Caenorhabditis elegans: one gene and its partners. Changing the gene in region 1 together with any one later gene gives a genetic interaction. Each region holds a gene or a part of one and is shown in the gene's direction. Other genes may lie near its edges.

Region 1 (3,458 bases):
TGGTTGAGGCCTGAGAGATTTGGAAGTCCGAGCTGTTGATTTGGAAAACCTGGCGGCAGAGATTGTTGAAGAGCCATCAGATTTGGTGGTGGAGCTCCCAATGTTAAAGCTGCTGACGATGTTGGAACAATATGTTCGCCTGGGAACGGAAGACCAAATGGATTTCCTTGAGGTATCAAGACTTCAGCGAGTTTTGCGAGTATTTGAGGTTGAGTAAGCAAACTTTGAGCCAATCTAGAATTTGAAAAAAAAATTAGAAACATTCTGGAATTAAGAAAAAAATAAAATGCATCAAAAACTCACAACAGGACTTGAGCATGTGGCAGATTTTTCTGTTTCTCTGGTTGTGGTTCCTTTTCCTTCTCTTCTTCATCATCCGAGTATTCAAAATCTTTTGTTAACACATTCTGTATACTACTTCCATTAATCCGATTATTCTCCGCTAGAACTTCTTCTACTTTTTGACTCAAGGATCCAGCGAATATTTGAAGTGCTCTCTGGAGAAGATTCTTGTCCTTACTTAAAACTCCACTGCGATCTATGCCGAACTTCTGAACCAATTCCAACATTTCTCTCTCAGAAATAGTTCCAAGGAAGTAATCTTCAGAAAGCACAAAGTTCGGAATATCTGGGACAGATCTCAGAGCAGATGATGGTCCAGCACCGAGAAGTCCATCATCCGGATGTGGATTTGTAGGAGTACGAGATTTCGGTTGAGACGATGATGAAGACCTTTTTGGCTTTTTCTTGTAAACTCCGGAATAAATGCTCATATCAGCCTGTTTTCCCTTCACGGCGAGCTCAACTTCCTCGAAATCGATAGCTAAAAATCAAACTTTTTTTTTGAATTCTCCACCATAATTACTTACTTAATCCAGAAGCCTTGCACATCTCTCTCAGTGGTTGAATCTCTGATTCCTTGAAAACTTTATTGGACATCCACAAATTAAGAGTTCTAACTGTTCTCATTTTCTCTTTCTGTCCACACTTTAACAGCGGCATCAAAAACTTGTCAAACTGCTTCATAAACCGTGGGCCAAATGTGTCTTTTTCTTTAAGTTGATGTTTTGAAGCACGGACTATTGAATCGATTACATAGAGCACATTTAGACGTTGATCTGGCTTGCACTGAAAAATCATTAATAAAAATAAATAAATTATTTAATTTAAATTTCGATTTCTCGAAATCATTCTAACCTTATTGATAAGTTTTTCAACTGAAAAAACCACATGCTTATATTGGCTTTTTGCTTTGATCGCAGCCTTTGTTATATCCTGAATCTTGTTCTTGCTCATGTTTTTCGAGTCGAATAGTGACGACAATTCATTATTAAACGATTTCATCACTTCCGTCTCCATGGTGATCCCACTGATGAGAGTTTTGTTCTGAAAAAAGCCAATTCAAATTAAAATCGATAATGCGAAGCGAGAAAATAAACTGAATAAAAGGAATAGTGGAAAGATACAATTGCAGAATTAAGAGTAAAGGTGGATGTGCTAATTTTAACGAATAGCAAATATTCCAAACGCTTATTTTTGAAAAATCGATAAATGCGATATGTCGACGGTTTAAAATCCAATGTAAACTATTTTCCCACTAAGTTTTTTCATGATTTTGATACTTTTTCAGTAGTTGAATATAATTTAATAATTTATGTACAAATTCATCTAATTATAGCGTTTTGAATGAAAATAGGAAAGAAAGCCGGCATAAAAATGGTAAAGCGCCGAGGTCAACACTGTGCCGCACACTTGCAAAACGGCGTGCCAGGCTTGCCAACCGAAGACTCCGCCCACAGCTAATGGTACTCTCGCGCACACAATTGGCACTATTCTGAAGAATTTCATTGTAATATATAATAAAATTATCGATTTTTTTTTCAAATTAAAAAATTCAAAATATTCACATATGATTTAATAATAATCATTTTTTCAGTTTCACATGGCAGAGTCAAGTGATATTCCGAATGGTACTTACACCTTGACCCTCGGGAAGTCATTTGAAGTAAAAGGACGGAAAAGTGACCCTAAGGCAGAGCAATTTCACACGCTAAGATGTAGGTTAACTGCACAATTTTAAGATTAAATATATCAGAAATTTAAAAATATAAAATCGAAATAGCTAAAATTTACAGACGATTTCAAGCCAAGCTCTGTATCAAACAATGCCGACACCTTCATAGCGTTTGGGAACAGCGGTGATGTACATGTCTCTGTACCAAGCGAAGGAGACAATATGACTGTATATAAAGGATCGAAAAAAGAAGCAAAACCGAAAGAATGTCTTCTGTTCTTCGACAAAAAGACCAACACAGTTCGCTTGGAGAAAATTACGAGCAATATTAATGTAAAAAAGACGAGAGATCTAGATCAAGGAACAGAACTCGCATTGAAACGTGGAATCGAAAGATTGAGAACTTCTTCTAATAATCAGCGATCTGGACCATCTTCACCGGAGGAGAAAGCGAAAATTCAGAAACAAATGCAGAGAGATACATCAGATTCGAGTAGTGATTCTGATGGATCATCTGATTCCGACAAATCGAATGGCGATTCCAGTGATGATGAAGATGAGAGCGAGAAGATATTATTGGAAGAAATGAAAAAGCCCAAACCATATACAGAAAGAGAACCCGCACCGCCTTCGTCTTCAAATACCTACAATCACAAAGAAAGCCACGTGGCTCCCTATATATCAAGTAGTGGAAATAAAAACAAAGATTCTGAGGAGAAGTATGGATTGGCACTTAGCGAAAGCTCCGACGAAGATGACTAATTTTAAAACATAATATTATTCAGTGTATTCAACCGTCTTTCTTGTGTACTTGTACTAGTGGTGGCAGTTATTTGCTTCTGTGATTTTTTATTTATTTCAAAACCGGGCTATCTATCGCAATCATAAATTTTTTCATTCAGGCTATTCAACAGTTTTATTTTTTCAGGTTTTCTGTTTAATCCGTGCACTATTTTAAAGTCGAACTAAAGTTTCTCTGAAATTTTTAAAATTCGCTGAAACCATTTTATCAATAGAGCATGCTTCTTGCGCTAAACAGTGTCGTTTGTAGACGTCGATTTTATCTTCAAATTTCTGTGTTTTTCTCACATATTGTTCATGATTTCAGATGGAAACTCACCGGTATATTCCAGAACATGCCGTCCCAATGCCGATTTCAGCGCTATTCAATTCAACAAAAGAACGAATCGAGTACGGAACGGCAGACGTTGTTCGCGTTCAAGTGATGGGTGTAATCGAATCTGTGAAGTTCGGAGATTCTGATGTAGAATACATGATTACTGATAAAGATAATCATAATATTTTGGTTCAAAAAATCCTCACCGTTAGTCTGAATATATCGTGTAACATTGGAAAAAAGTATTAATTTCAGGCTTCTTTCACCGAAGAATCTGCCAAGAAGTTCAACGTCGGGGACCGTGTTGAAGTATTCGGAAAAGTTCGA
Region 2 (3,758 bases), on another chromosome or scaffold:
ACTTCATCTTAAAATAAACCAATTTTTTTTTCATTTTAAATTATTTGTTTCGAATCCGAAATGTTTGAATGTCTTGAAAAATTAAATCCCAAATTTTCCAAATCAGATACTTCCTATATCTATTAAGTTTTCATTGAAAAAATCTGAAAATTAACAGTTTCTGAATAGATATTAAAGTGTTGGGTAGAATGGGAAAGACAAATAATGATTGGATGTAAAGATTTCCAAAAACTTTATTAATGCATTTATATAAAAGTTATAGTCATTTCTTATCAGAAAAACTATACCATGGCCCTTGATAAGAAAGATTAGATTTTTAGCCCGCCAATAGGACTATCATAACTGCGTTCATGTTGTTCACATGCATTATATCTGTAAATCGCACATGGGTGCGACTACTTAACCGGACAATAGGTCTCTATAGGTCTCTGAAAGTGAATACAGAGGTGCTGAGAATAAGATCATACAGCTGGCTGTATTAATATCTGGGAAAATCATAATTTTTTGGATTTTTAAATCAAAAAAAAAAAAGATTGGTAATCCCTATTCCCCTTAACAAAGAAACGATAGCAAAGGCCTAAAGAATAGTGTTACAAAAGATTCTACCGACGATGAGCTATGCGGAAAGCGGAACCATTAAACTTTTGTCAAAAGGTGATAATGGACCATCTAACTTATTGGTCACTTTCCTGTCTTTGTAACTATTATGTTGATAACCCTCATTATCAGTGCCCTTGATGGACGGAGCAACGAGAGGGCAATGCTGTGAACGTCTCTTTTGATACAGTAACTATCCATTGGGAGATTAGTCATTCCTGAACCTAATACTAGTTTCGGATGCTTGGGTGTGGTATGCAATGAAAAATCAATGAGACGGAACTTGAACTCTGTTTTTTGTGAATCGTTGAAATGATTCACCTGTTCCAAGTTATTTTTGGGAGTATTAGCGTCTCATTGATTTAACTTTCTTATTGCTTTTTTTTGATTTACAGTAATTATTATACCAGTATTGAACACTTTAATAGTCTCGCACAGACTTGTTACCAGATGTACCGTATCTATTAATTAAAAAAAATAAATCGGAACGATTTGAAATTTTGAAAATTGTGAAAATTTTAATTTTCGTGCCTAAAACAGCATCAAGCAAATTTTTTGTCAAAGCTTGATTCTTTTTCTCAAGGTTTTCAAAAATTCAAAAGTTAGTACTGTGCCTTCAATAAAACTTGTAGTCTCTTAGTCTTACACACCAACGGACCAATGGACATTGTATGAATGACTGAAACAAAAAATATATTATACTTTTTTGTGATATCTTTTTAAATTGCCCTTTGTTAATACTACCTAATTCTTAACTGCTATTAACTGCTACACAACTAGCCTTATCTTGCTCCCATAACGTATCTAAATGTCGCGCGCGCGGCGTCCGTCCTCTTATGTATCTGTACCAGTCACAAAATTGTGTTGATGAAAAAGGCAAGAAGAAGAAGAATGGCAGTTGAGGGTGAGAAATTTATTTTTCCTATTGTCGTGGGGGAGATTGGACGGTTTCATTTTTTCAAATGAGATATTAAAACATGATTAGGAAGAGTTGAGATTAGCTGATTGTGAGCTTAATGATAGTTTTTGGAGTTCAATGTTAAACTTTCCATTTCTACACCACTATACGATTCTGGGTCACTAAACACCCTTGCTCAGACGGCTTTTCAAAGAAACACCATCTCCCCTCTCCACCACCCTACGCCTGTACAAAATGACTCAAAAGGGCACCGCGCCCGCTCTCGGTCTCCGATCACTCAGTCTCTCTCTCTCCCTCCACAACCCAAAAAGGAGGCTTGCAGAAGTAGAGAAGCAGAGAGTGACGATCGCTGTCTCCAGGTGTCCGTGTCAAACTCTCTTATCAATCAGTGCTCTTTTTCTCTCGTGTTACTGCGTCTCTATGTCCATTCCCTTCTACTCATTCCCATACAGCCCCCTTCTACACCACCATCATCACCATCACACTGTCACAGTGTTGATAACGAAGAGTCGTATCAAGAGACCTAACAAAATCACCCAACCCCAGCCAATATTACCTTATACACCCTATCTGTCCACTGCGTATTTTTTGAAGGACTATCTAATTTGAGATACAATGACATCGCCATCCAGTGATGAGGACATTATTGATATAAGGGTAAGGCACCAGTTATTTTCTGCTTCATGCATCGTTTTTTTTTAAAATTGTTCGGGGCCTCTGAAAACGTTTTTGTTAGCTCCCGGCTGTATGCTCACTTTTTTCGAAATTAAAAACTTACAACCATCTTTGCCACACATGTTTAATCTATTTCTGCAGCTACCTTTCTATTTCTCTTCTGAAACAATCTGAAAATGAGCACCTTCTGTGTATAATAGCACATAAGTGCTCATTAACAGGGGATACTCGATGTCAATATGACCCGGCCAGGATGCTAGGTTGCCACCTATTATTGCTCCATTGGTATTCTGGGAAGATGCACATTTTGAGAATATCATGAACATCTGTGATTTGTCAGAAATAGTTTAGGTTATTGTTCAGCTTACCATATTTTCTTCAAACATCACTACAAACTTTTTTAATGACATTAAATACATTTTTTCTAAGTTCAATAGCTTTTTTGGAATTTGAATGTTAGTCATGAACTCTTAAAATATGCAAGGCTCAAAAAGTGAAATTGTTAAAACTTTCTTTTAAGATTTTTTTATCGATTCTCTTTTCGGAGAGATACAATGAAAATTTGATTCTCACGGTCCACGCACAAAGTTTTTTCTTCGTTTTGCTAGAAAAAATTTCTATGGAACAATTTGAACATGTTTTGAAACACTGTGGAAAATTAAAAGTTTTCATATTTCGATAATAAGAGCTCCCGAAAAAAATGCTCCAAAAACAAAACTCGGGCCATCCAAATATTTTTTGTTTCGATGGATGAAATGCGATATTCACCGAAGGGGCACCACCACCAGTGGCTCCGAAAGCTTCCACCCAAAAATGGGAGCCTCCTAGACGTATATTTTGTGCTCTTTTCTACTCTCTCGCTCCTCCTTCCCATGCAAATATTTGACAATTTCGCAGTGTGTATGTGATATCAGTTTTTGTTTGCCAATTGTTGTTTCTTTTATTTGCCATGTTCGTTTCACACGGTTTCAGTGATAAATATGTGATAAGCTTCAAGACGAACCTAATTTTTTTAGAACAAAATATGACGAAATGGGGTTCAAAAGTTTGGATTTACCATGGAAAATGTTTTTCTCACTTTACAATTACTATTCTTATAGACATGAATTTTCTTTTTCCTAAAAACGTCCCACACTTTTTGATTCTAATATACCTACACCTATTTTGAAATAATGAAATCATATCGAGTGAGTATTGATAAGAAACCTCTTCTTCCGCCTACACTGCTTTCTACTCTATTTTACGATTATTGATTATTTTGGAGAAGTGTATAAGATAATGAGTCAGCGCAGTTAATGCTCAATAATAACAGGTGCTAAAAAATAGGCGGCAGATGGATGATAGTCGTCTCAAGTTTTTTTACGATTTTGAATCACAGCTGGAAAAAACGACTGTTAGGGCGAACATCTGGACCCAGAAATATTCATTCAAAATTTGCTTGAAAGAACCATTCAAAATCGGACTAAAAACGGCGGCAATAGTAAAAGGAAATAGTTTTTAAAAAAAGGCGAATCGGCAAACTGCCGGTGCCGGATATCAGATTTGCCGGAAATGTTTAGAGGGATTT
Region 3 (3,758 bases), on another chromosome or scaffold:
AAAATTACCAAAATTAACCTTTATAAGTGCTGAAACATTTTAGAAATACCACAGAGTACCTTCAGCATCTGGAAAATTCTGAGGGCTCCAAAATTTAAAAACAAGTTACATCCAAATAATTATATATTTAATTTGCAGTTTTCATGATTTTTTATTCAAAATTTAAACGCATACATGTCTTGTAAGTTAAAATTAGTAATCTTAACAGTATAAAGGAAACTTTAAATGTATAATAGTACTCATAGATAATATACAGTATCGCAACTTTAAAAGATATCCATTTTTCTGAAACCACGTTATTCTGATCTTTCACACATTTCTTCAAAACTTTGTGAACAGTTTGACTGAATTAATTAAACATAATGGCTTGAATGCCATCTCCGTCTGTTTCAACAGATATGAATCTATTCTTTCACAAATCCACTGCGTCATTCAGGACTTCATTTATCTTCCTATTGATTCTTCAATTCACTCCGATTAAGTTTTACTATTTGATGAAAGTTCAACTTCATCGTCATTTGAATTATGTGCTCTCTTTATTTCTGGTATTATTGTTTCTGATTTATGTATTCTCAAGAACAGACTTACATTTAAACAGTGTCTAATGTTGTTTTGTGTGAATTGCAATGAGAGTTTATAATTTTTGTGACTAATTTTCATTTTGACCTTTGAAGAAATAAACGATTTTTTTGTTGTTGGGTTATTTTTATGTGTATAGTAAAATTGAAATGATTTGCTTCTTAATATTTTTGATACCGTATATTCTCTATTAGTTCGGCACCCCCAATTGCTCAACTTTGACAGCTTATATCTCGGATTTAAGCCAAAAATTTCAACTAAGAACATCTTTGTTAAATCTTTTTCTTTTTCTATGTTTTTCATTTTTCGATATCTTCAAAAGCGTGCGAGTTACATATACGCTATTAAAATAGAGCGGTTGAGGTGCCGCACTAATAGAGAATATGTGGGATATAGAGCTCTTTTCGAATGTACAGCGTATCTGTTAAATTTCTGTGATAGTTTTTGAAAATTAGTTTCTGAAAATGAAAACTTATAAGTAGGTTACGATAGAATCATGGAATCGACTGCTACAGCACTTTCCGAAAGTTTGAATTCAGGATATGCAGGATTTCTACCAAAACGTTCCACCGCCTCGGATTTAATTCTCTAAAATCGTATTTCCTAGCCAGAAAAAAGACTTGCCACGTGTAAGCGAGAAGACAAGGCAAAGGCTTGATAGCAATCTTCGCTTCTAAGCATATGCTTTGAAAACCCCGCATACAGCCTCATCGTCGCCCTCATTTCTCTTCCAAATGGCTAACATTGTACCTATTCATAAATCTTTAGAGTATTCACTGGTTGATGTACCACTTCTTTGTAAGAATGATGATCCGAATGATGAGATTGTGATCTATAGCAAATATTCGAATTCAAGAAGATTTATTGATTGGGCTCTTGTTATCACTGTGGCAATTACAGCATGCTATTCCTTATTCACATTGAGCAAATTTTATCTTTGAATTATTGGGAAAAAAGGTTTTGATTGATTTCTTTTGGCATTTTAATTAATTTCTTCAGAAATGATCCCGGCAATCGAACTTGAACATTCTGGTAAAAAAAGAGCATCTAAGTATTCAATTGCGCTTTTTTTCTATATTTATCTTTTTTATAATTGGTTTTATACATAAGATTTTATAAGTTCTGATTTTTTTAATTGATAAAATAAATACATTTATTTATGCTCGATTGATCAAATTTGAAAACATTTTACAAGGCTCATAAAGATTAAATTAATTTTCTTTAATATCCAGTCACTTTCAAAAACTTGACCGACCAAAATAACTTTAAATGCTTAATTTATAAATTTTTTTAAAATTAATTTATCCAACTCCAGATCACGTTGCTATATAATTAGAGAGTGAGACGCAGAAAGTGCGAGTTGACGCACTTCTCGTGCCCCTTGATTGACGCTTTTTCTGTGGTTGGCGCGTTTCGTGCGCGCGATTTTCGAATTTTAGGTTCACTTTTTCCGAATTTCAGCAAATTTTCAGCTTTATATTTCAATTTCAGACATCAAAATGGCGACATTGGACGGAATTAATGTGAAAGATATTGTAAAGGTATTTTGTTGCTCATATATTCAATTTTTGTGTTCAATTTAGCATATTTTCTAATAAAATCTAGGTTCAATTGCATTACAGTATATTTTCCAGGTTGAACGCACCTCCGTACATTCACATATTACTGGTCTAGGTCTTAATGATCGTTTAGAAGCTGAATATGTGTCTGGAGGAATGGTCGGCCAGGTTGCCGCTAGACAAGCTGCAGGACTTATTGTCAAAATGATTCAGGTAATGTTTTCTGCACAAAAATTCAAAACTAAAATTGCTACTATATTTTTTAGGAGGGAAAAATTGCCGGACGTGCTCTTCTTGTGACAGGAGAGCCTGGAGCTGGAAAGACTGCTATCGCCATCGCAATTTCCAAAGAACTTGGTGAGGACACCCCATTTGTCAGTATTGTCGCTTCAGAGGTTAGTCTAATGTTTTTTTTCAGATTAATAAATATCTTTTTTAAATTTCAGATTTATTCAAACGAAATCAACAAAACAGAGGCACTTACTCAAGCTTTTCGACGTGCTCTGGGAATTCAGATTAAAGAAGAAACTGAAGTTTTGGAAGGAGAAGTGATCTCGTTGGAAGTTGATCGGTCAGCAAATGGAATGGGACCAAAGGTCGGAAAACTCACAATGCGTACAACTGATATGGAAACTATCTACGATCTTGGATCAAAAATGGTTGATGCGTGTCTGAAAGAGAAAGTGATGCCCGGTGATGTTATTCAAGTTGATAAGGCTTCTGGTGAGAATTTTATTTAATCAAAAAACTGAAAAATTATCGTTTTTAGGACGTGTTACTCGACTTGGCCGTTCATTCAACCGTTCCCACGACTATGACGCAATGGGTCCAAAAGTGAAGCTTGTTCAGTGTCCAGATGGAGAAATTCAAAAGAGACGTGAAACTGTTCACACAGTTTGTCTTCACGACATTGACGTCATCAATTCTCGTACCCAAGGATACGTGGCACTCTTCTCAGGAGACACTGGAGAGATCAAAGCAGAAGTGAGAGATCAGATTAATAAGAAGGTTTTGGAGTGGAGAGAAGAGGGAAAAGCAAAGTTTGTACCAGGAGTATTGTTTATTGATGAAGCTCATATGCTTGATATCGAATGCTTTTCGTTCCTCAACAGAGCCATCGAAGGCGAACTCAGTCCCTTGATTATCATGGCCACCAACAGGTTTGCAAATATATTTTTTTTAATATTGAGTTTTTAATTAAATATCTTTAGATTGATCGAAAAAGTGCGTGGAACAGATGTCGAATCTGCTCATGGCATCCCATCTGATTTCCTTGATCGTATGCTCATCATCAACGCGATCCCATATACTAAAGAAGATACAGCAAAGATTTTGTCAATTCGATGTGATGAAGAAGGAGTCAAGTGAGATATATCTTTTAAAAACGCTCCACCGGCAATTGGAAACGCTCTGTCCCCGATCCATGGGTCTTGTTAGGAAAATGGCGACAAAACCGTGAATTCAAACGTTTTTCGATCAGCTTCGCAGATTTCGCCAAAATTTAGGCATTTTTCCGATGTTTTAGTGGTTTTTTGAGCTGAATGAGGTTTTTTTTATTTGACTGAATTTTATTTTATCAGTCTGCATAAAAATCACTAAGAAAAACTGGAAACTTGAAAA

What was found.
Region 2: changes in eaf-1 (region 1) and pha-4 impair growth when combined (synthetic growth defect), as found in Caenorhabditis elegans (one large-scale study listed by BioGRID).
Region 3: changes in eaf-1 (region 1) and ruvb-2 impair growth when combined (synthetic growth defect), as found in Caenorhabditis elegans (one large-scale study listed by BioGRID).

The regions. Positions count from the first base shown.
Region 1 is NC_003279.8:4,601,281-4,604,738, forward strand, and holds eaf-1 (Ell-associated factor Eaf), read left to right. Parts: upstream 1-1,936; 5' UTR 1,937-1,942; coding exon 1,943-2,057; intron 2,058-2,135; coding exon 2,136-2,776; 3' UTR 2,777-2,916; downstream 2,917-3,458. Other genes in the region: nrd-1 (CID domain-containing protein), read right to left, coding at 1-234, 304-823, 870-1,128, 1,198-1,359; D1007.8 (Nucleic acid-binding, OB-fold protein), read left to right, coding at 3,123-3,338, 3,387-3,458.
Region 2 is NC_003283.11:20,750,921-20,754,678, forward strand, and holds the start of pha-4 (Defective pharyngeal development protein 4), read left to right. Parts: upstream 1-2,131; coding exon 2,132-2,173; intron 2,174-3,758.
Region 3 is NC_003282.8:6,917,719-6,921,476, reverse strand, and holds the start of ruvb-2 (RuvB-like 2), read left to right. Parts: upstream 1-2,070; 5' UTR 2,071-2,078; coding exon 2,079-2,120; intron 2,121-2,213; coding exon 2,214-2,351; intron 2,352-2,404; coding exon 2,405-2,533; intron 2,534-2,584; coding exon 2,585-2,861; intron 2,862-2,907; coding exon 2,908-3,298; intron 3,299-3,349; coding exon 3,350-3,502; intron 3,503-3,758. Other genes in the region: T22D1.18 (Transposase), read left to right, coding at 1,314-1,520. UniProt on the Caenorhabditis elegans protein: Possesses single-stranded DNA-stimulated ATPase and ATP-dependent DNA helicase (5' to 3') activity suggesting a role in nuclear processes such as recombination and transcription.